7 linked regions of the Coturnix japonica genome follow. The protein of the gene in region 1 purifies or fractionates together with the protein of each later gene. This does not show direct contact. Links are inferred from orthologs where the notes say so. Each region holds a gene or a part of one and is shown on either strand. Other genes may lie near its edges. The genes, in order: PRPF4, EFTUD2, SART3, SNU13, MEPCE, PRPF4B and GPHN.

Region 1 (4,128 bases):
TACACAGGATATCAGTGAAAGTCATTCTTTACCTCGTAAGGTGTGAACAAGGTTACAGTCAGGCACAGACCACAGCTTGCACAGTCCACTCCTGTTGAACACAAGAAACAGAAGTCAGTGTAGACAGGAACATCAAACAGCTTATCAAACAAACTACACCAAGGGCTTCTGCAGTGGGAAAGTGGCAGTCTGACAAAACAGCATCTGACATGGAAACACACATGGAGCAAAAGGTGTGTCACTGAATTCCTCCTTGAGGACAAAATGGCACCTGCTGACATTCATCGACATTCCTGAATGTTTATAGAGACGAAACACTCAGTGCGGACCAGGCAAGCCAAAAGACTGGACACCATGCCCTAAAGTAAATGCTTTGAAGAGAACTTACCAACAGGCAGTAGCCAAGAGTTTGGAATTGGGACTGAAGTGGCAGTAGGACAGCGGGCGATCGTCCCCAATCTGACTACAGAAGTTATTCAAGGACTGCAACAAAATACAGAGAAAACAATGAATAAATACAAATGACTTAGGGACAGTCCTGGCCAGTGACTGAAGCAGAAGTCAGAGACCACAGGGAAATCACTTCCAAAGAGAGATGTTACCTCAGAGCTACTCTAGCCCCAAGCAGGAGGATTATGGAGTTTATCTGACTAAGAGAAACTAGCACAGCTCCATGGCTCAGCTTAGCACTCAGTATGCCACCCACCATACTTGCCACCAATCATACTGATGCCCTGCTTTGCAACTCAAGCTTTGACTGAAAAGAAGCAATCTGTTTAGCTTCAAAGGTAAGAGGCAAATCAACACAGGGATGTGTCTCTGCATCCCTCTGCAGTGCTAGAATACAACAAAAGCAGATTTCTCTGTACAACTGCAGAAACAGAGCTAGAACACGAGTACCACTAGAAGAGAGAGAAAATGCAAAGCTCTTCAAGGCGCAGCACAGCAAATTACACACATCTGGACAGCCCCTCCAGGCAGCTCGATCCTTCTGATCTCTTTGAAATTCAAGAAAAAACGTTCACAAGCAGCAGTTGAACAGATGGCAAACCTACTCGTAGGGATTTGTGCAGTTCTTGTCTCTGCGATGTCCTGGTTGCCTCTGGAATCTCTTTGAGCAGCCGGGCTTCTTCCAGACGCTTCGCTGCCCTGTGAAGAACAAAGATCAAGTACCAGATGTTCACATTTCCCATGCCTTGCTGCTAGAAACCCTCACTTCCCCATTACTGGGCTAACAGATTTGTCTACCGGAACATGTTCTTCATTCTTTTGATCTCAAATTTACTACACTACCCACAATGTGGTTAGTAGTTAAGAGTTTACAAAATGTTGCACTTCTCCCCTTCATTGATGTTAGTTTTCCTTACCTGGGAAGCGAGTAGTTAGCAAGCCACAGCCTTGCTGTTTTCAGACTCCGTGGTCCTTCATGGTACCAAGTCTGTTGATACTGTAAGGAAAAGAACAAAGCCAAAAAAAAGCTTAATGCTGCCGATTTAAACAGTGCATTGACAGTTCTGCTAAAATGGGCAACAAAGAAAAAGAAAGGGATGATTTTAGAATTTGCACCCTGACCACAACCAGGTCTTGAATGTCTCAGAGACCACCAAAATAAGGTATTCAAAGATGACTGTATAAATCTCCTCCGGCACTGAGAAATCATTACCTCTTCTTTAGACTTTTTCGACCTGTCGTCATCTTTCCTTGTCTTTTTTAATGCATCTGTGCCGACCACTGAGAGGATATTTCTTAACCTGAAAGGAAACACGTTAGGTTACGTTCACTTGGTGGACAAACACTCATTGTGTTCCATTCTTTCTTGTTATGTTGTAACCAAACACAGACCGGCAGCACTCGCTGCACGCCAACTACAAGGAAAACAGTGGGAATATGATAAAGTGGGGGAAGCTGAGCGTTCCCTCTTTGCAACACACAAGGGCAGACACAGCACCTCTCCCTCCTCTCTGCGGGACCTTCTCCAAAGAGCGTGATGGGCTCCCCGAGGGCTCGCAGACAGGCCTTCACTTCAGAGTCATCCGTGGAGACGTTGATTTGCCGGGCTCGCTTCCTGCGCTCAAACTCAGCCAAGACTTCGGCCTGTCGCTCACTCATGTGATCCTCCAGATCAAAGACCTCACCTGCACCAAAGCAAAACCATCAGCCTGGACACAGGAGCTGGACAGGAGATCCTCCTCCAACAGGAAGATCCCAACAGAGAGCTGGCAACCCAGGGAAAAGCCTCCCCTTATCAAACCTAATGTATGCTCAGATATTATTGGAGTGACTTTCGATTACACTAAATAAAGGCCACCCCATGCTGCTGTGCTCTCACCGCTGCTGATGTTGATGTTCCCGGCCTCCAGGGCCGCCTTCATTCCCTCCTTCCCCAGCAGCCCGGGCTCCCCCTTGGCCAGCCGCTCCCGCTCCTTCTCCTCCAGGCTGCCATAGAAGATGGGCGCCCTCTTGGCGGGGGGAGCATCGCCATCCTCGGACGGTTTGTTCTTCGTGGGCTGCAAAGGAAAGACAGAACCGATAGGAATCCGTGTGTGCTGAGTGCAGAGCTGACCTCATAACGGACACGGCACGGAAACCACAGGATCTTGTGATAACACCCCAAAGCCGCAGCGCTACCGGTCACAGCCCGACCCGTCACAGCCCTCCCAGCTCCGTTCCTTCCCATCTCCTCCCGTACCTCAGGCGGTGCGGGGCCCCTCACAGCCGCAGGCCGCGCCCCGCCTCGAGCCACCGGTGCCCGCACGGCCGCCATCACTGCGCTGCCCGACGGCCTAACGGAGCACTTCCGGTGACGGACAGGAAGCGGCGGGTCACACCGGGTAAACCGGAAGGGGCGGGCGGTGCGTGACAGAGCGGAAGGGGCCGGGAGGCGGCGGAAGCGATGCTGCGACGGAAACCAACGAGGTTGGAGCTGAAACTGGACGATATCGAGGAGTTCGAGGGAGTCCGGAAGGACCTGGAGGTGCGCGGGGACGGAAGGGGAAGGACCGGCAGGGGTCGGGGGTTGTCCCGGGCACCGGGGCCCTGACTCGGCCCCCCCGCCCCGCAGAGCCGCAAGAAGCAGCGGGACGAGGCGGACGTGGCGGGCGGCGAGGAGGCGGCGGGCATCGCGCTGGGAGCCGAGCACAAGAGCCGGGAGCAGCTCATCAACGACCGCATCGGGTACAAACCGCAGCACAAGGCCGGGGTCCGAGCCGCGCACTTCGGCACGTTCGAGTTCTGACGGTGCCGCTGCTCCCGGTACCGAACGGAGCCACACGAGGCTGTTTTAATAAATGGGCTTTTTTACAAACCGACACCAGCTCCTGGGTCTCCTTTGGTTGCACGGGGAAGTAAAAGCCTTCACTCAGCACAGCTGCAGCATTGACGGTTGTTTTTAAAGCACACAGCCACAGTAAAATGCATCTGCTTTATTAGTTAATTATATACAGGAGATCTTTGATACGTTACTAGATAAGTTACCTTCACAAAGAGCAAGAGGAAAATCAAAAGTGACAGTCTGCTGTAAACAAAACTATCCGTCCTTTTGGGTCTGCTGGGGCTGCAGACCAACTGAGAAGGCACTGGGGGAAATAACAGAAGCTCAGGGATGAACACAGCCTGGATACACTGTGCTTCCTACAGACATGTAAAGACAAAGTATCAGGGTGCACTCACAGACACAGCGATCACATTCTAAGCATGCTACATATGCTGACACGTGAACTTCATTTACTCAAGTCTAATAATCTAATATTAGAGTCCTCACCTCCCTCTAAGCACCACTCAACACAAGTTTAGTGTTAACACTGGGACAGCTTGAAATACAGCCAGCATAAAGGCCAGGATGGCATCCAACATCCAACGCACTAAGTGCAAGTCGGTATCACAGTGGGCAGGTTTTGCTCAGACTGGGGAAGCAAACAGCATCAGGTGGGCAGGAGGGAGGCTGGGGCACAGGGAGGCTCCTCAGGACTGTCAACAGTTACTAACCCTCAAAAGAGATGATTTCAAGGGAGGATGCACATACAGTGATGCAGAAAAGCAAGCAGGACTGAACTTATGTTATAAAAGCCGCAGCTACTGCATAGTTCCAACTTATCCTTCTCTGATTGGAACAGTCAGAATTCAAGTCTG
Region 2 (3,500 bases), on another chromosome or scaffold:
GCTTGCATTAGTCAGCGATCCAGCCAAGTTCTGAAGTTCCACGTTGGGGGATTTGGGGTGATCTGTAGGAATGTTGTAGATCAGCTCTCGCAAAGAAGTTGGCCTGAGGGAGGACGAAGTTGTAGAGGTCAAAGACTGATATTTCAGGGCTATTGTGCACCTTCATCAGTTTGGAGAAATAAATGAGCTCCCTGGGCATCGCAGAGTGAACGCAAGATGGTACCCCCCTGCTTTTGGAGGCTGATAAAGCATTCAGTGCAGTCGGTGGGAGGTGTCATCATCCATGAGCTGAATGGTACTTAAGTCAGTAACATCCGGCGGTGGTCACCAGGGATTTTGATTGCAGCCACCACTCTTCCAGTACCGTGAGTTATGGTGGTTTAACTGTCAGAACTGCAGCCACCCTGAAATTTCTTATGTCTGCACATCTGCCCACAGCAAAAGCTTGTTTGGAAACCACTGTAAATTACAACCGCTGTCTTTTTATTTGTAAATCCACCATGACAGCCAAGCACCGTTCCTTCAGCACTTGGAAATGCACTTAATGCATCAGCTCAGCTCAAACAAGAACCTGGAGGTGTTCAGCAAGGCAGAAAATGCTGCGCTGAGCCGTCAGGGTGTCAGCCATCCCAGCACCTTGGCACCGCGCAGTCAGGTCATGGTGTTACTGGTTGGAAAAATGAAGCAGATGTAACTGGGTTCCTGCAGAGCTGAGTCTGACTCCTCTCAGCTGTAACCTCGTGTGTGATCAGGACAGCTGAATTGTTCCTGAGAGGGAGATGTGCAAACACACAGTGCTCCTGGGGGCTGCTGCTGCAATAGTCCTCACAGGGCTGTTTTCTGGCCACTTCTCTGCCCAGCTGCCCCAGTTCAGGGTTTAGTCAGTTACACTGAATGGGGACCAAGTGTTCACTCACCAGCATTGCACCAAAACCTCAGGGTCACTTTAAAGGGCAAAAAGATCTCCAAAATGAGAGAAATACTGTGTCTCTTATTCTTGCTTCTTCCTTTCAGGTGATATCAATTATCAGGAGTTTGCAAAGCGGCTTTGGGGTGACATCTACTTCAACCCAAAAACGTAAGAGGCCTGTTGAGGTGTCTGTTACTTTGTTCCTGTTTATTTTTTCCTCTCCCTCCTCTGTAAACTGGACTGGATGACCGTTTGAGGTCCCTTCCAGCCTGAGCTGCCCTGTGATCCTGTGGTGGGAGGAAAGGTTGGGTCAGTCCTCCTGCTTGATATGATTCCATGTTCTCCTGAATCATGAATGGGAGCAAAGAGCTCTTCTGACCCTTGTTTGGAGTAAGAGTGGCTTCATTATCCCTGAGTGCTTCCCAGGGAGGTTGGGAGGGGTAGATAACTCAAGAAGAGCAGTGGCTGTGTGCAGGTTGATGCCAGTTGCTTGTGTGCTTGCTGCTCACTGCTCTCTTTTTGTCTACCAACAGGCGGAAGTTCACTAAGAAGGCCCCAACCAGCAGCTCCCAGCGCAGCTTTGTGGAGTTCATTCTTGAGCCCCTGTACAAGATCTTGGCTCAGGTACATGGTGGTTTGTTATTCTTGCAGCTCCAGACCATGAGCTTGCAAGGACTGAGTGGTCACTAGGTGGTGGTGGTGTGTGATGCCTGCGGGACTCTTCACACATTTCTGGGTTTGAGCATGCATAGAGGTGATGGACTTCTCCTTACAGCTATTCCTTGCAGATATGGCCCTATGTCTGTGCAGTTAGAACTGCTTTTGCTCTTTGTAATGTGCTATGATAGCAGCCAAGTGATAAAATGAGCTGCCCAGCCTGTTTTGTGTGAGCTCAGTTGTGTGAGCAAGGCTGAGAGCAATACCTGGCAATACATTCGGGGCCTTCAGCTGCACCCAGGAGCCTGGGACTTGGGCACCTGCAGCAGAGCCAACAGTGGTGCCTGTCATCCTGCAGGTGGTGGGGGATGTGGACACGACCCTGCCTCGCACTCTGGATGAACTTGGCATCCACCTGACCAAAGAGGAATTGAAACTGAACATTCGACCGCTCCTACGACTTGTCTGCAAGAAGTTCTTTGGGGAGTTCACAGGTAAATCCTTCCCAGCCACAATGTTCCCAATGGCTTACCCTCATGTGGACGGAGTCTAAGGGCTGTAATGCAAACACAGAGTGTCAGCTTGCACAGATTCCTTTCTCAGCTTTGTTTTTCCGTGTATAAAATACAAACTGTTTCCTCAAAGAACAGCTTGAGATGCTGCTCACATCTTCCCCTTACTGTGGGTGCTCTGCAGTTGGGTTTAAGTTATGTTTATTGGGGTACATTTTATTTTTCTTCTACCCTGCTTGATCACGATGTATTACTTTTTCAGGCTTTGTGGACATGTGTGTGCAGCATATTCCCTCCCCAAAGTTGGGAGCCAAGACAAAAATCGAACACACCTACACTGGTGGCGTTGACTCCGATCTTGGGGAGGCCATGAGTGAATGTGACCCTGACGTAAGGAAGCTCTTTTATTTTGTTCTGAGCATCCAAAATGTGGCAAATACACCCCCCTTTCACTGCCTTGACAGAGCAGCTGCCTCCTGGACAGCCATCTGCACTGATTTGACTTCCAGCACTCTGAAACCTCTCATCCGATACTGAAACAAATCTCTTCACTCTGAGAAACTTTAGTGCCTGTCAGGGCAGCCCTTGGGAGATAGAACTGTTTGACAGTGTTCAGAACAAGAGTCTGGGTCAGGACTCTGGAGCATGTGGGCGCTGCAGGGTGATTCTGTGTCCTTTTGCTGCCTTTTGTCTCTTTTCCATGAAGTTTTATTCACTCTCCAACCTCCTGCATGAGGCTGATAAAAATAATGCTATATTAGCAAGTCACAAGAAGTATTTTTATGTTCCATCTCTTCGATCCAATTGTATCCATAGGTCCTACCAGGTCTGTGTCTGTTTTCTGGCTGTCTATTGAATATGGTTTCTTTCTTTTCCATGGGAAGGGTCCTCTGATGTGTCACACAACAAAAATGTACAGCACAGACGACGGCGTTCAGTTCCATGCCTTTGGCCGAGTGCTCAGCGGTACCATCCATGCTGGGCAGCCTGTGAAGGTCCTGGGAGAGAATTACACCCTGGAGGATGAGGAGGATTCCCAGATCTGCACTGTTGGACGCCTCTGGATCTCAGTTGCGAGGTAGGGAGAGCTCTGACAAGGTGTTGGTTTTTGAGAGAAGTCACTGGGAGTCATTGCTGTCAGAGACAGGGAGGAGGACGGTGCTGTCAGCGGCCTGAGGTACAGTAATAAGAGTGGATTTAATTTAGATATAAGGAAGAATTTCTGTACTGTGAGGGTGGCTGAATGCTGGAATGGGCTGCCCAAAGAAGTTGTAGGTGCCCCATCCCTGGAAGCATTCAAAGTCAATTGCATGGAACCTTGACCAACCTGATCTGGTGGGAGATCTTGGCTTCTGAACGAACAAATGATCTTTAAAAACCCTTTCCAACCCACACTGCTCTATGGTTCTGTCATCCTCCCA
Region 3 (4,135 bases), on another chromosome or scaffold:
GGATGGCATTCTCAAACTCACGGTACGCTTCCCACAGAGCTGTTCCTTTTGTCACGTGCAGCCCAACCGCTGTCAATGCTCTCTCAAATATTGAGCGAACTTTCTCAATTCCTCCTTCCTGACCAATGCCACCGATTGAATACTGGGCATATTCCAGCCAAATTTCAGGACCTAAACAAAGTTATGAGAAACAGGAGAGCTGATGTCCTCGAAAATACAAAGGCATCTCAAATACTTATCCAAAGGCATAGAAATTGTCTTTACTATTCAGTATAATAGACCTTTAAATGTTTTTTTAACTCCCACACATTAAGAACTTACAGATGTAATCCTTCACGGCTCTCTCAAACAGCTCATAAACTTTCTCTCGCTCTGAGATCTCAGAAGCCATTTTTATCTCATCCTTCAACCAGTCCAGCCAGATTTCTGAAACCAAGAAGTTTACAGTCACCAACGCTTGGAAAAAAACTTTTCCCTTTACATTTTTGGTTATTTTTTAATAACAGGCTTAAAAATGGGGATAGAGAAAATGGGGAGAAAAAGAGCAATTTTAAGTCCCCGCATCTACACACAATTAGTTTAAATGAAAAGTTTGGTACTGATGTCTCCAACCTAGTCCTAAGCAAGTATGCTTCTATTTAAAGAGAGATGAAGCTGTGAGCAGCAATTGGTCAGCACCATGCACAGAGAATGCACATAGGCCAGCAAAGAGGCATTGAGTGGCACAGTTTCCTTCTTTTTTACAAGAAACAGCAGATGGCTTTAGAGGCTGCAGGTTCCCACATGCCTAAGAGGAAACCTTCACTTGCCAAAGCTAAAAGCCCACTGCCAGGTATTTATATTGTTACAGTGTTAACTATAAATAAAAAGAAAGGCCTGCTTCAAGTTGAGTTCAGAGCTTCAATCTGATCCTTTAGGCTGGAACAGCATGGCTGAAACCTGGCACAAAGAGTATTTCACACTGATGATGCTTCATCAGTATTACCAGCTGCAAGGAGAAGCAGCTCTGTACCTTCAGTAAGTGGGAAGAGTTCACTCATCTTCTGCCGAGCTCTTCTGAGCTTCACCAGCTCTCCCTCTTGGCGGAGCAGCTTTATCAGATCCAAGTGGCAATTGTAGTCAAAAGCATTGATGGAAAGCTTTAAAGAAAATAAAGGAAGTTTTTAAAGGCTTGCAGAAGTCAGCAAATACTCAGCAGAACAGAACTTTACACACTGTTTTCTATGTGTCACATCCCTGCAGTTCTTGAACACCTCCAGGGATGGTGATCCCACCACCTCCCTGGACAGCTTGTCTCAATTCCTGACTGCTCTTTTGAAGAAGCAGTCATTCCCAATACTCAACAAGAACCTCCCCTGGTATAACTTAAGGCCTTTGCCTCTTGTCCCATCGCTGTTATATGGGAGAAGAGAGCAACTCCCACCCTGCTACAACCTCTTTTCAGGGAGTAGTGGAGAACCATCCTACAATTCTGTGATCCCCAGCTCCCTCAACCTCTCCCCATATAGCTCGTACTCCAAACCCTTTACAGCTCTGCTGCCCTACTCCAGACATGCTCCAGGGCCTTGATGCCTTTCTTCTGTAGTGAGTAAATTAAACGCAGCACTTAAGATGCCTTGCCTTCACCAGGGCCAAGTACAGACAGACATTCACCTCCCTGCTCAGTTACACAGAATCACAGAACTGTAAGTGACAGGAAAAGGCAAAGTCCTCTGAGGATCCCTCAGTCCAACCCTCCCCCCAGCAGGTAGCATTAGAAAGCATCCCAGTGGATCCTGAGCATCTCTAAAGAAAGAAACTCCACCACCTCCCTGGGCAGCTTGTGTCAGGGCTCTGTCAACTTCACAGCGAAGAAGTTATTTCTCACGTTCAGATAGAACTTCCTGGGTTCCAGTTTGTGCCCACTGCCCCTTATCGTGTAGCTGGGCATGGCTGAAAAGAACCTGGCCCCATCTTCACGATTTCTACCCTGACAAGTGCTGCTCCCTCAGCCTTCCCTCCTGCCTCAAGGGCAGCCTCAGGGCTCCTCAAATAGAAGCTGCAGGCCCCGACCACCTCTGCAGCCCTTCATAGAAGATCCCTGTTACTAAAGCTGGGCTTTAAAGTTCTGCAGAAGACTGAACTCACAGCCCTAAGGCCCGAGAGCCCCCAAGTACAGACACAGCGCTAACACCCAGTGAGCCCTCCTCAGCAAACGCGTTTTAATTCCTTCAAGATCACTAAGGAAACCACCATCTGAGTTCACTTTCAACATACCAGGGCTGCTCCCTGAGTCTCTCTCGCCCTGAAGCGAGGAATAAAAAGCGAATTAAAAGGCATCACGCCCGGAGGCGTTTCCAGATCTCCATAACCAAAGCACGGTACAGCCGGGCCCCACCTGCTCCTCCAGCCGCTGGATCTCCGCCTCGTTCTCCTTCTCCTCATCCTCGCCGTCTCCTGATGAATCCGAGTCGCCTTCATCCTCCGAATCCCCCCCCGACTCGGGGTCTCCCTCCACCACACGCTTCTCCTCCTCCACCGCCGCCTCGGCTCCCGCCGCCGCCATCTTGTTGCAGCTCGCCTCGCTGCCGGCCGCTCTCAGCCAGCCGATGGGGTTGGCTACTGCGCGCCTGTCTCAATATTGTACATTCCCCCCAGCCAAAAGCGGTGAAAGAAAGGACGATAAACTCTCCCGACAAGGTTCTGCTCTTCTCCGCGTCCAACTGCCACGAAAAGCCGAGCAGCTCGGCCCGTTACTCCTTATAATTTAGTCTGCTGCAGAGGCAGCGCCACGGACACCTCAGGGCCTCGGCCTCCAGGGGTCCTTCGGGAGGGTTGGGGCAGAGCGCCGCTGCCAGGTGCGGGCAGACTCAAGATGGCGGCGCTGAGGGCGGCGGGGGCGGCGCTGCTGCGGCCCGGGCGGGGGGCGACGGCGGTGGGGGGGGCGGGCTACCACAAGAAGGTGAGAGGGGCCGGGTAGGGCTGTGGGGAGCCCATAGTGCCCGTTGGGGGTTGTTAGTGACACGTTGTTCTCGCAGGTGGTGGATCACTACGAGAACCCGCGGAACGTGGGCTCTCTCGATCGCAACGCAAAGAACGTGGGTACGGGCCTGGTGGGAGCCCCGGCCTGTGGAGACGTTATGAAGCTGCAGGTGAGGGGAGCACGGGGTGCCCTGTAAGGACACAACCATCAGTGTCTGCCACCATATGGCTGTGACATAGGATTCCTCCGTCACACCCCCTTTAAGCCCCTCTGCAGGCCCTAAAATCCAATAGACCCCCAGCCTTAAACTCGCTGTCCCTTTACGCCCCTCTGCAGATCCTAAAATCCAATAGACCCCCAGCCTTAAACTCATTGTCCCTTAAAGTCCCTCTGCAGGCCCTAAAATCCGATAAACCCCCAGCCTTAAACTCGCTGTCCTATCGCTGTCCCTTTGTGTGTGGTTCCTACGTGGAACTGAGCGCCCCTCTGATAACTCCCACAGGTGGAAGTGGATGAGAACGGCCGCATTGTTGATGCTCGCTTCAAAACCTTCGGTTGTGGTTCTGCCATCGCTTCCAGCTCCTTGGCAACAGAGTGGGTGAAAGGGAAGACGGTAAGGGCTTGGCTTAAGGGGCACAGTGGGGAGCAGGTACATATTCACACCCACTGCTGGGATCAGGGAAGGAAACAGGGGTCTAGAGAGGTGCTCTCCAGGTGTTACACTCACATAGAAGCTCAGAATGCAGTTTCATCTTTCCTGACTTTTAAAGCAATATTTGCCTTTTCTGGAAGTCTCCAATAAGCTGTGAAGAAGCTTTGGGTGCTACACAGCAATCGAAAATAGATAAAGAAAGCACTTGTATAGTGGAATGTCTTCCATTGGCTGATCTCCGTGTGCTTGGCATTGTGACAAGCAGGTTGTTTCTATATTACAGCAGAACAAACCTGGAACAGTCCCTGCAGTTGGTCAGCAGTAAAATAATGCTCTGGTTTATTAACAAGCACTGCACACTTTGAGACATTCCTTATATTTCATAGAATCAGGGGTTGAAATGGACCTCTGAGTATCACCTAGTCCAGCTCCTCTGCCAAAGGAGGTTCCCTGTAGTAGGTTGCAGATTTGTTGCTTGGCAGGAGCAGAATAAAACAGGTATTATTGAAAGGCCTTTCTTA
Region 4 (4,238 bases), on another chromosome or scaffold:
TTTGTATTGAAATGTCTTAGGAAGCCCAAGCTTTGCAGATCACTGTTGCAATCCATGCAAAGAAAACTGAGAATAACAATTCTGGCCGTTCCTGTATTTAGATTTGTCAGTAATTTTATTTTCTTTTTAAAAAAACAGCATTTAAAAATAAGTGAAATTAGAGATTTCCCCTTGTGCACTGCCGTACGATGTCAGCTCCCCATACACCCTCTTAGAGAAGCCTCTTGCCTGATCTGAAGGCAGGGTTGTGCTATGTGTACTGATCCTGGCTCCACCAGCTGCTTGCTACACAGTAGCCACAGTCCTACACTTTAGTCTATGCTGCTTCGCTTCAAAGCAACAACTCTGGCAGCCCAAATACACGTACTGTGCTGCGGAACCAACACACCTTACTCCCCCATAGAATAAACCATTCTGAAACAAAGATACACCTGTAAGAGGCTGAAGCATTAGGAAGCTAATGGGTAGATTACAAAAGCCCTGAGCAGGCAGATATGGAGATTGGAGGGGATTTTTTTTTCCTTTGAACGTCAAACAGTAAATACAGTTGTACAATCACTTTTCAAGAAGTAATACAACGAGAATGAGAGTTGGAGTGGAATAATAGAGAAAGGGAGGGGAGAAGAGGCAGAGACACTTGAAGAATTAAGCCGCTATTAAACAAAGATGTGATTTTTGAAATGGAACACTGATATCAAAACTATAACGTCATTAACTAAAGCTAGACATTAATTCCCCCTGACTTCACCTTTACCCATTCCACACACACTCAAGCTCAAGGGCGCTCAGACCAACAGTCTCTCTATAGCTTGCTGTACAGACTGGATCTGAGGTTTTAGCTGCGATCCCTCCTTGATAGTGATGGAGCAGGCGATGACAGGCCGGGAAACCCCACACGCCCGGCCTAGGGCCTGCTTGGAGCGCACGAACACATAAGGAACATTCTTGTCCTCGCAGAGAAGAGGTAGGTGCAGGATGATCTCCAAGGGTTCAGCATCGGCAGCCATCACTATGAACTCTGCTATTCCTCGGTTCAGTGTTTTGGTGGCTGCAAAAAGAAACTGAAAGTAAGTCTAGGTTCTGTGAAGCACATCTTGTGAACAACACTAGGAGATGCTGATGTCAGCACGAGCAAGAAGGGGCAGCAAGAGGGCAGGCCAAAGAAAACCATCAGCTACAGGGCCATGTAATAGCACAGCTCCAAGTCCAGAATGAACAGTTTGTGGTCAGCAGTGCACCCATGAGAAGAAGGAAGTTGACCCTTGGAAAACCCATAGCAGGTCCCAGGGAGGGATTATTCATAGGGTCACATCTGAGCTACTGCATCCTTCACAAAGGAGTGAGGCCAGCACAGGGAGAGCAGCTGGGGCACTCTGCAGATGAGAGACCAAGGGAGCTGGATCTGTGCAGACTGGAGAAGAACCAGCCAAGGTGGGATGGAGGAGAGTGACTGCTGCCTTCTGCCACTCCAAGGAGACTGCAGCGAGGATGGAGCCAGGTTATCCCCATGAACGCACAGCTTAAAGGACTGTGACTGCAGACTCTGACTGCTGCCTTGGGGAAACTCTGGAGATATGAGGAGAAAAAAAATCCTGGCAGAAGAGCAGTTTAAGCCATAGGAGACTGTGGAGTTTCCACGCTTAAGGACTTTTATTTTGTTCAGATGAAGCTTAACCAGATATGGCCTTGAGCAGCTCAGTCACGCTGTGAAGGGACATTCTCTGAGCTGTCTGAACTACAGAGCTCCCCTCAACTCCCAGTTATCTTATGATTTTAAGCTGGCAAGACACCTGGTCATCTCAGTGCCGCATCATATATGATCACAGTATATGCACCAGGAACACACTTTGAGCATCTAAGAGGAGGAAGGAAAGGGTCACTCGTGCCAGACCGAGCTATATAATATTCATGGCCACAGCTGGAGAAGAAAATACAATCTCCAGCCACAGCTTCACACAGTATTCCCACCTTCATTGGCTCCTTTGCGTAGCTGCTTGTAGTTGCAGGACTGCTGCACAAGGTCCAGCAGCGTCTTGGTGAGCTGCGCGTCAGCCAGTGGGTAAGCTTTGGGGTTCACCTCTGCCTCACTCTAGAAACCGGAGAAAGGGAAAGATGGGAGAGTGGTACAGCAGGGGCAAAAGAGTTTGTTCCGAGGGGCATTAGAGAGGCAGCATGTCTACCACGTGTAGTCCATTACTGAATCACTAAGGTTGAAAAAGAGCACCAGCATCACCCAGTCCAACCTTTAGCCCACCCCCACCATGCCCACTGACCACATCCCTCAGTGCCACATCCACACGGCTCTGGAACACCTCCAGGGATGGTGACTGCACCACCTCCTTGTGCAGCCCGTGCCACCGCAGCACCGCTCCTACTGAGAAACGCTTCCTGATATCCAACCTGAACGTCCCTTGGCGCAACTTGAGGCCATCACCTCTCATCCTACAGCTCCTACCGGGGAGAAGAGGCTGCCCCCACCTCGCCACAACCTCCCCTCATGCACCTATGAATGCGTGTATCACGTGTACCAGCCCACAACCCACCCACGGACGCCCTTCGGCACAGCCCCACGCAGCGCGGCCCCCACGTGCTCCCCGCTGCCCGCCCGCCGCCTCGGTGTGCAGGGGAGCGGACCCTGCCCGGCGCATCCCGCCTCCCCCCCGACCCCGCTCACCATGGCGGCGGCGCGGTGCAGCTCTCGGACACTCGGGGCCCAACGCTCGTGCGCGCAGCGGGCCGCACGCCGCCGGAACTGAGGGAACGGCGGAGGGAAGAGGCGGGCCGTGCCTCGCCGGGAGCCTGCCCATGGCGCGCCCTAGCGGCCGTGAGGCGATGGCGGCGGGCTGCGAGAGCGTGCGTGATCGGCACGGTGCGAGGTGGAACCTGCCGCTCCGACCGCCGCTGTGCCTCGCCTGCGCTGTGGAGACGCTGGGCGATGGCGGCGCCTCGGTGCGGCTTCCCCTTCCTTGTAGGCCTCGGTACCCCGCAGCCCGCTGCTGCCTTGAGGCAGGGGCACGGAACGCGGGGTAACGCTTTTAGTGCCGTTCGGGCAGGCCTGGATGCTGACGGTTGTCTCCCACCCGCAGCTGGTGCGGAAGAAACACGCGCTGTCCCGGCTGCGCGATGCCCTGGCCTGGCAGGCGCTGCCGGTCGTCCAGCTGCTGGCTCCAGACGAGAGGGGCTGCCTCTGTCTGATAGGAACGCTCTTCGGTAAGAGCTCCCACACGGCCTAACAGCACCAAGGAATTCCCTTTTTGTAGGGTTGGGTTGGAAGGGACCTCGAAGAATCTGGGATTTCCCTGACCCAGGCTTCTCCACATTCAGCTCCCCCAACAAAATGGCAGTAGACCACTGGAATACCCAATTCCATGCTCCTGCCAATGTTCTCCATTACATCTTGCTATTCCCCACAGAAAAGGGCCTCTCATTCCAACTAGAATAGGGTAATTAATTTCCCTCTCCCCCAAGGAGCAGAACTGGCATGTTAATAAAGCTCCCACAGCTTTCCTGAGCATCTTCACAGATCTTTAACCTTCATGGAGAACTGAGCGCTCTGGCTTATGGCTCTTCCCAGAACACCCTCTGTTCTGGTCTCATGCCTCAGTGCTTTCTCATCTATACTAAGATCCACACAGAAATGGAAGTGTGAACTTAAAAAGGGCGCTACAGGATTTACTATCAAATAGTACGGTATTTCTTTCTCCCACTGTCACTTTATATTAGCTGAAATCCTTCTAGCCATAGGACTGTGACACCTGTTTCTTCCTGGTGGGTCAGCCTCCTAGCAGAGCAAAGAGATGTTAGAAAGTGCCTTTCCAATAGTGGTCCTTCCGATCTCAGTAATCTCTCACTGTCTCTGCACAGCAGCGCTGTGGGTAAGGTCTTTGAAATCTCTAAAATCCTGTCAGAAGAGAAATAATGGTGTAAATGAGGGAACAGTCAGGCAGGAAGAAAAAGGTGGAGGTTATGAATGCAAATGCTTTCAAAGAGCAATTATACTGGGTTTCTTGAAGTCCACAGCCTCATTTGCACATCACAGATACGTGCTTTGCGCGAGGTGACTTACAAGCCCCTTCCCTTGCCACAACACTGAATAATTCAAGCTGTGTTTCCCAGCTGGTTTCCCAGCACAAACTGTGCTTTGCACATTGAAAACAGCTTTGTTAGAATGTTGTGCAGGTTGCGTTCTCTTGGTCACACAGATTTTTATTGAGCACTGTCTGCATGCAACCCTATAC
Region 5 (4,095 bases), on another chromosome or scaffold:
GATTGACCCCCCAGCACCCCCGATCCCCCCCCACTGCACCCCATTCCCTCCCCTATAGCCCCCTATTGCCCCCCAGTCCCTCCCAGTGTCCTCAATCCCCATTCCAATCCCTCCCAGTATCCCTTTTAGTGCCCATCCTGGTACCCCCCATTCCCTCCCATTCATTCCCCCCCCTCACACAGAGCATGCGCCTGAAGCTGATCGCCAGTAACAGCACCATGGAGCGGCGCTTCAGCCCCTGGATCGGGGGCTCCATTTTGGCCTCCCTTGTGAGTTGGGGGCGATACAAACAACGTGGGGGGGGGGCAGCGATTTGTGCCCCCCCATCTCCCCCCCCCCGACCCCTCCCCATGTTCCCAGGGCACGTTCCAGCAGATGTGGATCTCCAAGCAGGAATACGAGGAGGGGGGCAAGCAGTGCGTGGAGCGGAAATGCCCCTGAGCCCATTAACCCTCGTTAACACGGAGCGAAAGAATGAGGAGAAAATAAACGGAACCGGAGCAAAAAGAGCCGATAAATGGAACCCCCCCCCCCAGGCCTGGAGCTGGGCGCAGGCCTCGATAGGCCGCACTGCTGTGAATGGGGGCTCAGCGCCTTCACAGCGGCACAGGGAGGGGCCTGGAGCCGCCTGGGCGGTTGGGGCCGGGGTTGTGGCCGCTGTTATTTCGGTGACATCTTTTTTTTTTACCAAAATCGCCCGTTTTTCCCTCAAAACGCGGCCTCGCGCCTCCGCTTTCCCTCCCGCCGCGGGAGCGCGCTCAGTGCGCACGCGCTTCCCCCTCAGCGCTCCGCGCCACATGTGCGCATGCACGACGCACAGAGGGCGCCCCACTGCGCATGCGCGGCGCGCCGAGGCTGTGCGCATGCGTCACGTGCGCGCGCCGACGGGTGACGCGTGCGCCGTGTGCACCCGGCGTCTGCGCACGCGCATTGGCGAAAGGCAGCCGCTCTGCCGCCCGTGCGTCCCGCGCTGCGCCGTCACCGTCCGGGATAACGGGGAGCAGCGTCGGCCGCGGCCAGGAACGGCCGGGAGCCCAGCTGCCGCTGTAGCTTTTCGTTCAGGCACCGCCGTGGACAGCCCAGAACCGCAAGGCCCCCGCGAGGCCCCCGACGCGCTGTGCAGCCATTGGTCGCTACCCCCCTCTTCCGCGCGCCACTTCCTCCCATTGGCCGCCGCCCACTCCGCCTCCTACCGATTGGCGCAGCCCTCCGTCCGCGCGCCACACGCCATTGGCCGTCTATCGGTTGGGGGGCGGGGCCCGTCGTGGCCCCGCCCCTCGGCTATATAAGGAGGCGCAGGGTGCGACTCGCCTGCCATCGCGGGAGGGAGGTGGCGCGCGCCGCACCGTCCGGCTCCGGCTCGTTGGACTCGGCGGTGGGCGGAGCGGCCGGGCCATGATCGAGATGGCGGCTGAACCCGACGCGTTCCGGGCCCCTCCGCCGCCTTTAAGGACCGGAGAACCACCGGGGGGGGGCGGGCCTGCACCGGGCGGCACCGACACCACCGGGCCCCAGCGGCGGAGGGGACGGGAGGAAACGGACGGAGCGGGGGAGGCCCCGAGACCCAGGAACGGCTTCAGAGCGACCGGAGGAGGCGGCGGGGGGGGCGGAGGGGGGGGAAAACGGCGGAGCAGCTGCACCGGATCCAAACAACCGCCGTGGAAACGGCGCCGGAGAGCGACGTCGGAATGTGACCCCGCGCTGCCGTCCGAGTTCCTGCTGGGGGGGAACATCTTCGACCCGCTGAACCTCAACAGTCTCCTGGACGAGGAGGTGAGCCGCACGCTGAACGCACGCACCCCGCAGTCATCACCGCTACCGGCACGAGGACGGGACCCCGTGGAGATCCTCATCCCGCGGGACATCACCGACCCGCTCAGCCTCAACGCGCCCGGGGGGGATGACGGGCTCCGTCTGGCATCACCTGCCAAAGCAACGCGACGTCGGCATCGCCACCGGGGTCAGCAACGGGGGAACAGCACCAACAGCACCAACAATAGTATGGAGCCAGAGAGCAGCACGGAGCACGGGAACACGGCCAGCAGCAGCACCAACACGGCTGGAAACAGCAGCACAACGTGCTCCAACAGCCGGCACCGTAAGAGGAGAAGGACTTGTAGTAAATCAGAGGCCGCCCGATCTACGGCGTCACCGGAGAAAGGGAAAGGGGGAAACAACGGCCCTAAAACCCCCACGACGGCCCCACGGCGCCGCAAGAGCCAGAAGTTCCAATATGGGAATTACTGTAAATATTACGGCTATCGCAACCCGGATTGCGAGGACGGGAGGTTGAAAGCCATGAAGGCCGAGTGGTTCACCGGGAAGGAGGTGCTGGATGTGGGGTGTAACGTGGGGCACGTCACGCTCAGCATCGCCAAGAGGTGGGGGCCCAGCAGAGTGGTGGGGCTGGACATTGACGGGGCCTTGATCCGCTCGGCCCGGCAGAACATCAGGCATTATCTGTCCGAAGAAATGGCCGCCGTGGAGGGAGGGGGGAGGAAGGGGTTCCCTGCGGCGCTGCTGGCCAGCAGGGGACCCATCGCTGCCCCACGGCTGCCCCCCGACGGGCCCGGAGCCTCCGACTTCCCCCATAACGTCGTGTTTGTCACGGTGAGGGGGCGGGGCTAAAGGGAGGGGGCGGGGCTAAAGGGAGGGGGCGTGGTTTGGGGGTGGAGCCAATCGGAGAGGCGGGGCTAATGGGCAGGGGCGGGGTTTGGGGCGGAGCCAATTAGAGAGGCGGGGCTAAAGGGAGGGGGCGTGGTTTGGAGGCGGGGCTAAACGGAGGGAGCCTGGTTTGGGGCGGGGCTAAAGGGAGGGGGCGTGGTTTGGGGCGGAGCCAATTAGAGAGGCGGGGCTAAAGGGGGGCATGGTTTAGAGGCGGGGCTAAGGGGAAAGGGCGTGGTTTGGGGCGGGGCTAACGGAAGGGGTGTGGTTGGGGGCGTGGTTAAGGAAAGGGGGCGGGGTGTTGGGTTGGGGCGGGGCTAAAGGAAGGAAGCGTGGTTAAAAGAGTGACATAGAGTGAATGGGCGGGGCTAAGTTTGGGGGCGGGGCTAAAGGCACAGCAGGTTTAAGGGGCGTGGTTAAGGGCGGGGCTAAAGGGGGCGTGGTTGGGGGGTGGGGCTTTACAAGGGGTTTGATTTTAATATGGGGTGTGGCTAAATGAAAGGGGTGGGGCTAAAGGAGGGGGTGTGGTTTGGGTTGGGGTCAATAAATGGGAAGGTGACACAGTTGGGGTGGGGGTAAATAGGGGGTGTGGCTAAAGGGGTGGTGCCGATGGAAGGGGGTGGTGCTTTGAAGGGGCTGTGATTAGGATGTACATGAAGGGGTGGGGCCACTCCCCCTTTTCTAAGTTCAATCCCCATCGTTTTTGAAGATCTCCTTTAATCTGTTATTTAACCCCCCCTACCCAGTCTCTTCCCCATTGCCATGAGACCCCTCCTAACCTCTCTCCCACCCATCCACCCCATAGGGCAACTACGTCCCCGAACGAGAGGAGGCGGTGTGGGCCCAGCGCCCCGAATTCGACGTCCTGCTGGTTCTGTCCCTGACCAAATGGGTGCAGCTCAACTGGGGGGACGAGGGGCTCAAAAGGTTGTTCCGTCGGGCCTACAGACACCTCCGGCCTGGGGGGCTGCTGCTGCTGGAGCCACAGCCATGGGCTTCCTACCGCAAGAGGAAGGGGCTGACGGTGAGATGAATGGGGTTATGGGGCACCAATGGGGGACTGGGGGGGATATGGGGGTTGGGGGTGCGGGATGGGGGTCTGCTCTTGTCTGTGGGATGGGTCCAGCTGTGAGCCTTTGGTTGTGGGACCCCTATAACCCTCCCCAAAGTCCCCAGCTGGACTGTGGGAACCTCCCTCAGAGCCTTCAGCTCTTTAAGATCTTCCCACCCATATCCTCCCAACCCCCTCATTGGAGCCCTATAACCCTCCCCCCAAATCCCCTTAACTCACCAAGACAACCCCCCCCAATCCTCCACTGCAGCCCCATAATCCCCCAAACCCCGCTCCAAAAGCCCCAGATCCCTCTCCTAATTCCTTCCAACACCCCATTGCCCCCACAGAACCCCTTATAACCTCCCCTCAGCTCATAG
Region 6 (3,500 bases), on another chromosome or scaffold:
TTTCCCCTAAATATTTCTAGGTACTATTCGTATAGCTCAAAATAACTCAGTTGCACACAAACCAAAACAACCTTTAAGACTTCTGGTGTAAAACGCATGGAAAATATTTCCATCTAAGTTATCAGTAATGGATAAGTACATAACACATGACTGTAGGTATATGGCAGCAGATGCTGAAAATGAATATTAGAGATTCTGAATCCTCACGTAACTTAACACAGTTTAATACAACATCACCCTAGTTAAGGATCACTCAGTCTAAAAGACCTCCAGTGATTTTCTTTCCAATAGGTAGAGTATCATCACTTTCTCGTATCCTCTACACATGCGCACATACGGAGAATATGCAAAAATAATTCACTGAAACACTGAAACGTCTTTGTCTAAGTTAGATATGACTGACTAGTAACCAACCCACAGCTTCCCAAATGGATTTGGTTCATCCAACCAGAATTTTACAGTCCTTGATTCCCATCTCAAAAATCTCAGGGCTGGGCAGACAACATAATCAATGTCAAGCTTATTCCTTGCCACCACTGTTCCCTGCAGTTTTGCAAATGAGAAAGTGCCTGATGAAAATGCAAGTACCCTTCTCCTGTGAGTGCGGATACATAGTCCTCAAGCGCTTCCAATTATATGGCTCCTATTAGCAGAAAAGGCAGGAACCACAGCTGTAATCTGTTACTTCACTTGAAACAAAGGAAGATTCAAATCACATCATAAAAAACTTCCAAAAGTCTCACATTCTTTATCATAGTATTATGAAACAAAAACATTACTTACATAAGTTCGTTGTTCCTGATGATTTTAACCGCTACTTCTTGGTTTGCTCTTGCCATATCCCTGGCTCGTACTACATTACTGAAGACTCCCTGACCAGTGTAACCATAGACATTGTAACGTTTATCTAGAACTTCACCTATATTAACACCTGAAGGATAAAAATCAAGCAATTCAAGTAAGAGTTACATGTCGTATGCACAATGAAACATTTTATGAAAAATAAATGGTTCTAAATAATGTCAACAGTATGATCACTTAATTTCATAGCATACTAGCACCAGTCTTTGTGGAAATTATGGGCAACATCAGCAACTCCAAGTCTGGAATCCTCCCCTTCTTGAGTTTAAAACCTGCATGCTCATTTCATCCATTGCAGGTAAATTTATTTTGGCCCTTACACCTGCAAATGAGCCTTTAACACTGACTAGTAAGTAAAACATGCTTGCTCACTCACTATCTCCATTCTGAATCCTAGATAATGACTACCACAAGTGCCACCCGTATTCTCTTGGATGCTGAATTTCTTGGTTTCAGATCCTGGCAAGCATTCCTTCATTCCTTCCTTCCTTTGTGAGGATGATGTGACAGCTCTAACTATGGGCAGGTTTGAGTTTTACCCTAACCATAGTTTTATATCTAGGGGCAACCTGATGCTGCACAATATGCAAGAAGAGAAAACTGCTTTGGGCACACCATATTCAGCATGGCACTCACAGCAGAATATTCACGTTAGAGCATTTCAGTACTTTGACATGAGGTTCTTTTCCATTTAGCATCCTCCTCCTTGCTACAGTCACGAACCAATAAATGAAACTTACGATAATAGCCTTCTGCATCAGTCCAGTTATCCCTGAGATTGGGGTTTTCTTTGAAGTCTTTTCCAAACCCAGCAGCTCTTAGACGAGCACTCTGTAGCAAAAAGAACAAATGGAACAGCTTTGCTTGTGTGCTCTAGCTGTATATTTTCTTTAACGTTTATTTATAAAAATCAGAAGTTCATATTACGAGGCACTTTTTTCCTACTGAATCAATGCTCTTCTCCACACTACAAACACATTTATCTTGTAGGAGAAAAAAAACTACTGAACACTGAATGCTACTTAAATACCATCGCTTGAAAACCACTGCAAGGGAATGGAATAGAGACAAGCAACAGAACTATTATTAAGTATGAGAAATGAGACATGTTTCAACCATTACCTGCAATGAATTTATACAAGTCAAATTAGAACACACAGTTTGGACTATATTAATTAGTCTTACTATTTACAGTATATTTGTAGTAATAAAAGTTTAGCAATCTGGGGGATAAATGTAACTGTTGAAGCCTCAAATTTCTTTCTGTTCATTCAATGCCAGCTCACAAAATCCATACTGTTACACTTAGAATCACAGAAGCATTGCAGTCACTGCTGACATTGCTTAACTGAGCTGACAATATTGTTGCAAATTCCAATTCATGAGTAGTAAAACACATCTTTGACTGAACAACAATTTTTTTAGAGCAGAAACTGATTCCTTACAAACCGTTTAAATCCCTACTCGTTATCCCAAAGTTTTTAAGAGCACCTAAACGACCACTATTCCTGCAGTATTTATCTTTCTCCTTCGGTGTGCCCGTGTGTGTGTCGGTTTTATTACAGTGACACCTTCTGTCAACAGTCTTTTTTGAGAACTAATAGATTTCATCTGCCATAAAGCAAGATTAACTGGAGAATTTCCATCTTAAAAGGAATTTGCTGCTTTGACTTTATTTCTCAGTGACTGTGTATCACTAGCAACAAGTATTTAAGGGACTGCTAAGACTTGCAAGCTGCTTCAGCATGTTTAGAGAAAAGCTGCTGAAACAGTGCAATAAGTAGAAATGGGAAATGCATCTCTTCATCCAAAAAGAAGCCTCCACATCACTACAGCATGTCATGAGCAAATTAAAATACATTACACAGGCTTTGTAATTAACATTATGTGAACCTCTGAGGAAAGTACGCATCTCTGAAAGAACAGTAAAATGTGGCAGCTTTAACATAAAATGTTAGTATGAAGTTTGTTACTGTGTGTGCCACGCAGCTCTCATTTGAACAGCAGGTGAAATACCTAATTTGTTGTTTAGTTTGGCCCAAACCCTACCAACTGCAGGTTTTCTTTCACCGAAATATTAGAAGCTACTTTGTCTGCTTCAACTGATCAAAATATCAGAATTATCAACTCAGTTACTTTGCTTTTACAGCTCAGTGTTCCCACAAACCTCAAGTGACAGCATCCCTTCAATAAAAAAGCAAGAAAGAAAAGAATCGCGCATTTCATCTCTAAGGATTACCTACATCAAAGTACGCAGCAAACATATCATCTGATTCTGTGAACATATCCGGAGCTAGCAGTTTCTTCTGAGCTGAACCTTGAAAGGAAACTCACATTATTCCAGGCGATGAAGATGGCAAGTGCACAACAGTTAGCAATGTAAACTGTGATTTGATATTGATACAGTGCAATCTCAAAATCAACATGGTGGCAAACTAAAGTATTCGCAAGAAAAGTTAGAGCTGATTTACATTATACACATAAAGTGAGGTGGTCAAGTTCGTCAAAGCACTCAAAAACCAAAATAGCACCTCCTTGAAAAATTAAGTATAACAGCTTTCAAGCAAGTCACACAGCAGGAAGGAAAGGTACATACTTTGTATGATCCTCACAAGTGACTGCACAAAAATATACATTAA
Region 7 (3,500 bases), on another chromosome or scaffold:
TAATAATTAATGTATGTTTTCATTATTTGTAGTCAGATCTCCTTGCTTACTGCTTGCTTGAGATCTGCTTTTTCACTGAAGTAAGGGTGGTTGTATACCTCAGTGTTTTAAACCACTTTTAAAATAGTACTTTGGAAGGTCAGTAACTGTGAGCTTTACAGTTGCAACAGAAATTATATTTCTTTATTATATTTAAAAATAGATTTTTCATATATATTCATTATATGCAGCAGTTCTTGCTCATCTGCTTACTTGAGTTGTTTAGAGTAACAAATCAAATGTTTATAGAATTTAAATACCTGAGTAGTAGTCTGACTTTTCATTACCCCCAGAGGTATGATTGAAAGATGGATTCTTATTTAGAGGTTTTGAGGAAATAGTGTTTGTGAGTCATGATTCTGACTTACAAACTGGGTCATATAAATTCTGCTATTCTCTGATGGACGGTTTGTTAACATAGTCATTTTTATTTATTGAAAATACTTGTTACTGTATCTGCTTAAAAATATTTATCATTATTTAGTTTTTGCACTCTTTAAATTCCAGTATTACAATTTTGAGAAGTCTTCTTTATGGTTGAAATGAAACAAAAGATGAAAAGCGATGAAAGGAATAACATCAGCTACCTTGTCAACTCTAACTGTACTGCCTTGGCAATTCATTATTGTGACCTTGCCATCATTTTCCAGTAATTCAATATGTCTATGTAGTGAGCAGACGAGACATGAAAACCCCTTACTCTAAGGTGCCTGGGAAGAGGATGAGTCATAAATTGAAGAAGGGGAGCTTCCAACTGGATAAAAAGATAAAGAAAAAATCACTATGAGGATAATTACTCATTAGAACAGGTTGTCCACAAAATTTGGGGAGCTTCGGTTCTTGGATTTTTTCAAGACTAGGCTGAACAAACCCAAAGCAACCTGTCTGAATTCAGTATTTTAATGACTTCCTGAGGTTCCTTGCAACACGAATGATTCTTTTATTTGGTGAAATAACTAAAGGTAGCTAGAAATATGTACACCTGTTGCAGAGCTAGAATGGTTACATGGCATCTGTGTTTTTTCTCCGACTGTACAAAATAAACTTTTTGATGGCTTTTAAATCACGGAGCAAGGAGAGGTTTGAAAAATAGATTACCAAAGGTAAATTTATTTTAGTTACATAAAATTATAATGACATCAGTACTGCCTGCGAGGCCCAAAGGATAAGTTCATGAATTAAAAAATAAACAATAACGTTATTTAAAAGTACAATTATGGCAATTATTATGAAACATTCTCAAATTGTGAATGAGTGTAACAGAAGTTATTTGAAGCTAATAACCTTGCAGAGATAGAGTTAATGTTTTTATTCTGCCTTTCTGTAATAATACTGCCAACTGCCATAAATGTGCTTCTGCTTTATGCATTCATTAAAATTTTAACTCTTGTTTTCCTACATTTTAATCCAGTTTTAGATTAATTGCATTAATTCTTGACTGTTGTACTGCTTACTATGTTTGCATGAAAAGGACTAAAATATTTGAATCCTCAGTTCAGATTCTGGTGGGTTTTTTAGCTGGTTGGTTGTTGGGGATTTGGTTTGTTTGTTTTTCTAAGAGCATTGGTAATGGGCATTTTGATTTTCATTTACGATCAGGTGAAAAGATGCATCAAAATCCCCAATATCTCCTAAGAGCAAATCTGAAAAATCTTTATTTGCTTCTGCGAGTAACTATTCATAGTCATTTCTCTTCTTGTGCATAGGAATGCTTTCAATTTATACTGCCAGCCCTACCTCATGCCATCGATCTCTTGCGAGATGCCATTGTAAAAGTAAAGGAGGTACACGATGAGCTAGAAGATCTACCTTCACCACCACCTCCTCTTTCTCCTCCTCCAACCACCAGCCCTCACAAGCAGACAGAGGACAAAGGAGTACAGTGTGAGGAAGAGGAGGAAGAGAAGAAGGATAGTGGAGTTGCATCAACAGAGGACAGTTCCTCTTCACATATAACTGCAGCAGCCATTGCAGCTAAGGTGAGTCTGGCTTGTTTCCAAGACACTCTTTAGCTTCGCACAGGTACTTTCCACCAATATTCATTTGCATGTCAAGTCTATACGTCAATGTTGATGTGCTCAAACAGATATATTTTGGATACATTTCATAGAAATTTAGCATCCTAAGAGTATATGAATGTTGTTTCAGTAAATGATCACCGATTTCATTGGAAGATGCATTGTTTATTATTTAGATTGCAGGTTACATTTTAATTATATTCTGATATTATATTCTGACTTGACAGAGCATGTTTAGTGTTAGGTTTAAAAGAAACGATCAGAAATACTCAGGCTCCTGGATGTGCACAGTCCAACTAGTGACATACTAAGGAGTCACAGCAAGATTCACTAACTTATATTTTCCATTTTGTAATGACGCTTGGTTTTTAAAAACATAAAAAGTATGACAGCTACGTAGCAGGTTAGGTCATAAGCTATCCAATCTACTGCATGAGAAATGTGAAATTCTGTCACTAAATTAAGTGTCATCATGTTGTCTTTAGAGCCTCTGTGTAACTACGAATTATAGGTGATTGTTACTTCAGCGTTACTCAGACCAAAATTATGAATTGGAGACTACAAAAGGAAAAAGAATGACACTCATTTATTACAAATAAATGAGCTCTGTATTTACTTGCTGTACTTTTAATTCCAACTATGGGAACTGAATGTGCACATAACTCAAAATGCTTATAAAGAACTTCTAAAGCAAAGCAGCAACATTCAAACTCCAGACGTGTGAATTCAGGTCTAAGACAGCTACAGCTGGAGATCATCGTTTTATGGAAAATCCTGGTTGTGTATGTCTTTAAAAGGCTGAATTAAGGAAGTTATCAGATGCAACTCTGAGTTTTTATTAATGCATTTTTTAAAATTCATTGATTTATTTTAATATAGACAAAGAAAAATAATGTATGCAATTTTAAAGACAGAAATTATCTGACATCTAAACAGGCTGTGTTCATGTGAGCTTGACATTTCAGCTTCACACTTGTTTTCACCTCATTGTCTTTCAGTCATTTGCTTGTTTGGTCTCATATTTTCCTGTCACTGTATTCATAGCTGTTATGTGTTGTGCATTAGAAACATCCATCCTACACCAGTTCAGCAGTTATTATGGCAAAAGGTGAACAGCCCATTCCTGGTCTCATCAGTTATTGCCATCATGCGGCAGGCAGTGCAGAAGAACCGGTAAGATGCACTTCCCAGAGGCTTTTGCACTAACAGTAGTTAAAATTACACTGCCTGCCACCTATTCTAACAGTGTTACTTTTTCTTATTCTAACAAATAGATATCAGTGCTATCTGTCTTTTAAAGAACATGCTACAGAGAACATTCTGCTTAAGATACAAAACTCAACAGGATAAATATCATGTGCTTTTCTGTCAATTGGAATTATTTGGCTGCTGAGATAAAAAATTGCTGTAAAGCCTGTGTTTCTGATGAGTCATCAACTTTAT

Evidence for each region.
Region 2: the proteins of PRPF4 (region 1) and EFTUD2 purify together in Homo sapiens (affinity purification with mass spectrometry; 4 studies listed by BioGRID and IntAct, with this or other methods). This does not show direct contact. The link is inferred for Coturnix japonica from reciprocal best matches to the Homo sapiens genes PRPF4 and EFTUD2.
Region 3: the proteins of PRPF4 (region 1) and SART3 purify together in Homo sapiens (affinity purification with mass spectrometry; 5 studies listed by BioGRID and IntAct, counting the BioPlex papers as one, with this or other methods). This does not show direct contact. The link is inferred for Coturnix japonica from reciprocal best matches to the Homo sapiens genes PRPF4 and SART3.
Region 4: the proteins of PRPF4 (region 1) and SNU13 purify together in Homo sapiens (affinity purification with mass spectrometry; 4 studies listed by BioGRID and IntAct, counting the BioPlex papers as one, with this or other methods). This does not show direct contact. The link is inferred for Coturnix japonica from reciprocal best matches to the Homo sapiens genes PRPF4 and SNU13.
Region 5: the proteins of PRPF4 (region 1) and MEPCE purify together in Homo sapiens (affinity purification with mass spectrometry; 4 studies listed by BioGRID and IntAct, with this or other methods). This does not show direct contact. The link is inferred for Coturnix japonica from reciprocal best matches to the Homo sapiens genes PRPF4 and MEPCE.
Region 6: the proteins of PRPF4 (region 1) and PRPF4B purify together in Homo sapiens (affinity purification with mass spectrometry; 3 studies listed by BioGRID and IntAct, with this or other methods). This does not show direct contact. The link is inferred for Coturnix japonica from reciprocal best matches to the Homo sapiens genes PRPF4 and PRP4K.
Region 7: the proteins of PRPF4 (region 1) and GPHN purify together in Homo sapiens (affinity purification with mass spectrometry; 3 studies listed by BioGRID and IntAct, counting the BioPlex papers as one, with this or other methods). This does not show direct contact. The link is inferred for Coturnix japonica from reciprocal best matches to the Homo sapiens genes PRPF4 and GPHN.

The regions. Positions count from the first base shown.
Region 1 is NC_029532.1:813,639-817,766, forward strand, and holds the start of PRPF4 (U4/U6 small nuclear ribonucleoprotein Prp4), read right to left. Parts: upstream 2,801-4,128; 5' UTR 2,765-2,800; coding exon 2,690-2,764; intron 2,508-2,689; coding exon 2,330-2,507; intron 2,136-2,329; coding exon 1,949-2,135; intron 1,752-1,948; coding exon 1,664-1,751; intron 1,448-1,663; coding exon 1,368-1,447; intron 1,150-1,367; coding exon 1,056-1,149; intron 484-1,055; coding exon 389-483; intron 92-388; coding exon 33-91; intron 1-32. Other genes in the region: anaphase-promoting complex subunit CDC26, read left to right, coding at 2,894-2,974, 3,062-3,235. UniProt on the Homo sapiens protein: Plays a role in pre-mRNA splicing as component of the U4/U6-U5 tri-snRNP complex that is involved in spliceosome assembly, and as component of the precatalytic spliceosome (spliceosome B complex).
Region 2 is NC_029542.1:768,950-772,449, reverse strand, and holds part of EFTUD2 (116 kDa U5 small nuclear ribonucleoprotein component), read left to right. Parts: intron 1-1,014; coding exon 1,015-1,078; intron 1,079-1,443; coding exon 1,444-1,534; intron 1,535-1,925; coding exon 1,926-2,061; intron 2,062-2,341; coding exon 2,342-2,469; intron 2,470-2,963; coding exon 2,964-3,157; intron 3,158-3,500. UniProt on the Homo sapiens protein: Required for pre-mRNA splicing as component of the spliceosome, including pre-catalytic, catalytic and post-catalytic spliceosomal complexes. Component of the U5 snRNP and the U4/U6-U5 tri-snRNP complex, a building block of the spliceosome.
Region 3 is NC_029530.1:5,666,967-5,671,101, forward strand, and holds the start of SART3 (squamous cell carcinoma antigen recognized by T-cells 3), read right to left. Parts: upstream 2,801-4,135; 5' UTR 2,546-2,800; coding exon 2,378-2,545; intron 1,140-2,377; coding exon 1,013-1,139; intron 427-1,012; coding exon 322-426; intron 172-321; coding exon 1-171. Other genes in the region: ISCU (iron-sulfur cluster assembly enzyme ISCU, mitochondrial), read left to right, coding at 2,855-2,941, 3,018-3,131, 3,465-3,575. UniProt on the Homo sapiens protein: U6 snRNP-binding protein that functions as a recycling factor of the splicing machinery. Promotes the initial reassembly of U4 and U6 snRNPs following their ejection from the spliceosome during its maturation.
Region 4 is NC_029516.1:45,199,715-45,203,952, reverse strand, and holds SNU13 (NHP2-like protein 1), read right to left. Parts: upstream 2,801-4,238; 5' UTR 2,678-2,800; coding exon 2,675-2,677; intron 2,090-2,674; coding exon 1,969-2,089; intron 1,049-1,968; coding exon 786-1,048; 3' UTR 97-785; downstream 1-96. Other genes in the region: MEI1 (meiosis inhibitor protein 1), read left to right, coding at 2,806-2,949, 3,087-3,210.
Region 5 is NW_015439878.1:132,682-136,776, forward strand, and holds the start of MEPCE (7SK snRNA methylphosphate capping enzyme), read left to right. Parts: upstream 1-1,295; 5' UTR 1,296-1,395; coding exon 1,396-2,610; intron 2,611-3,469; coding exon 3,470-3,688; intron 3,689-4,095. Other genes in the region: ACTL6B (actin-like protein 6B), read left to right, coding at 183-269, 361-441. UniProt on the Homo sapiens protein: S-adenosyl-L-methionine-dependent methyltransferase that adds a methylphosphate cap at the 5'-end of 7SK snRNA (7SK RNA), leading to stabilize it.
Region 6 is NC_029517.1:63,515,824-63,519,323, reverse strand, and holds part of PRPF4B (serine/threonine-protein kinase PRP4 homolog), read right to left. Parts: intron 3,179-3,500; coding exon 3,105-3,178; intron 1,693-3,104; coding exon 1,602-1,692; intron 932-1,601; coding exon 784-931; intron 1-783. UniProt on the Homo sapiens protein: Serine/threonine kinase involved in spliceosomal assembly as well as mitosis and signaling regulation. Connects chromatin mediated regulation of transcription and pre-mRNA splicing.
Region 7 is NC_029520.1:27,356,529-27,360,028, forward strand, and holds part of GPHN (gephyrin), read left to right. Parts: intron 1-1,745; coding exon 1,746-2,018; intron 2,019-3,122; coding exon 3,123-3,230; intron 3,231-3,500. UniProt on the Homo sapiens protein: Microtubule-associated protein involved in membrane protein-cytoskeleton interactions. It is thought to anchor the inhibitory glycine receptor (GLYR) to subsynaptic microtubules.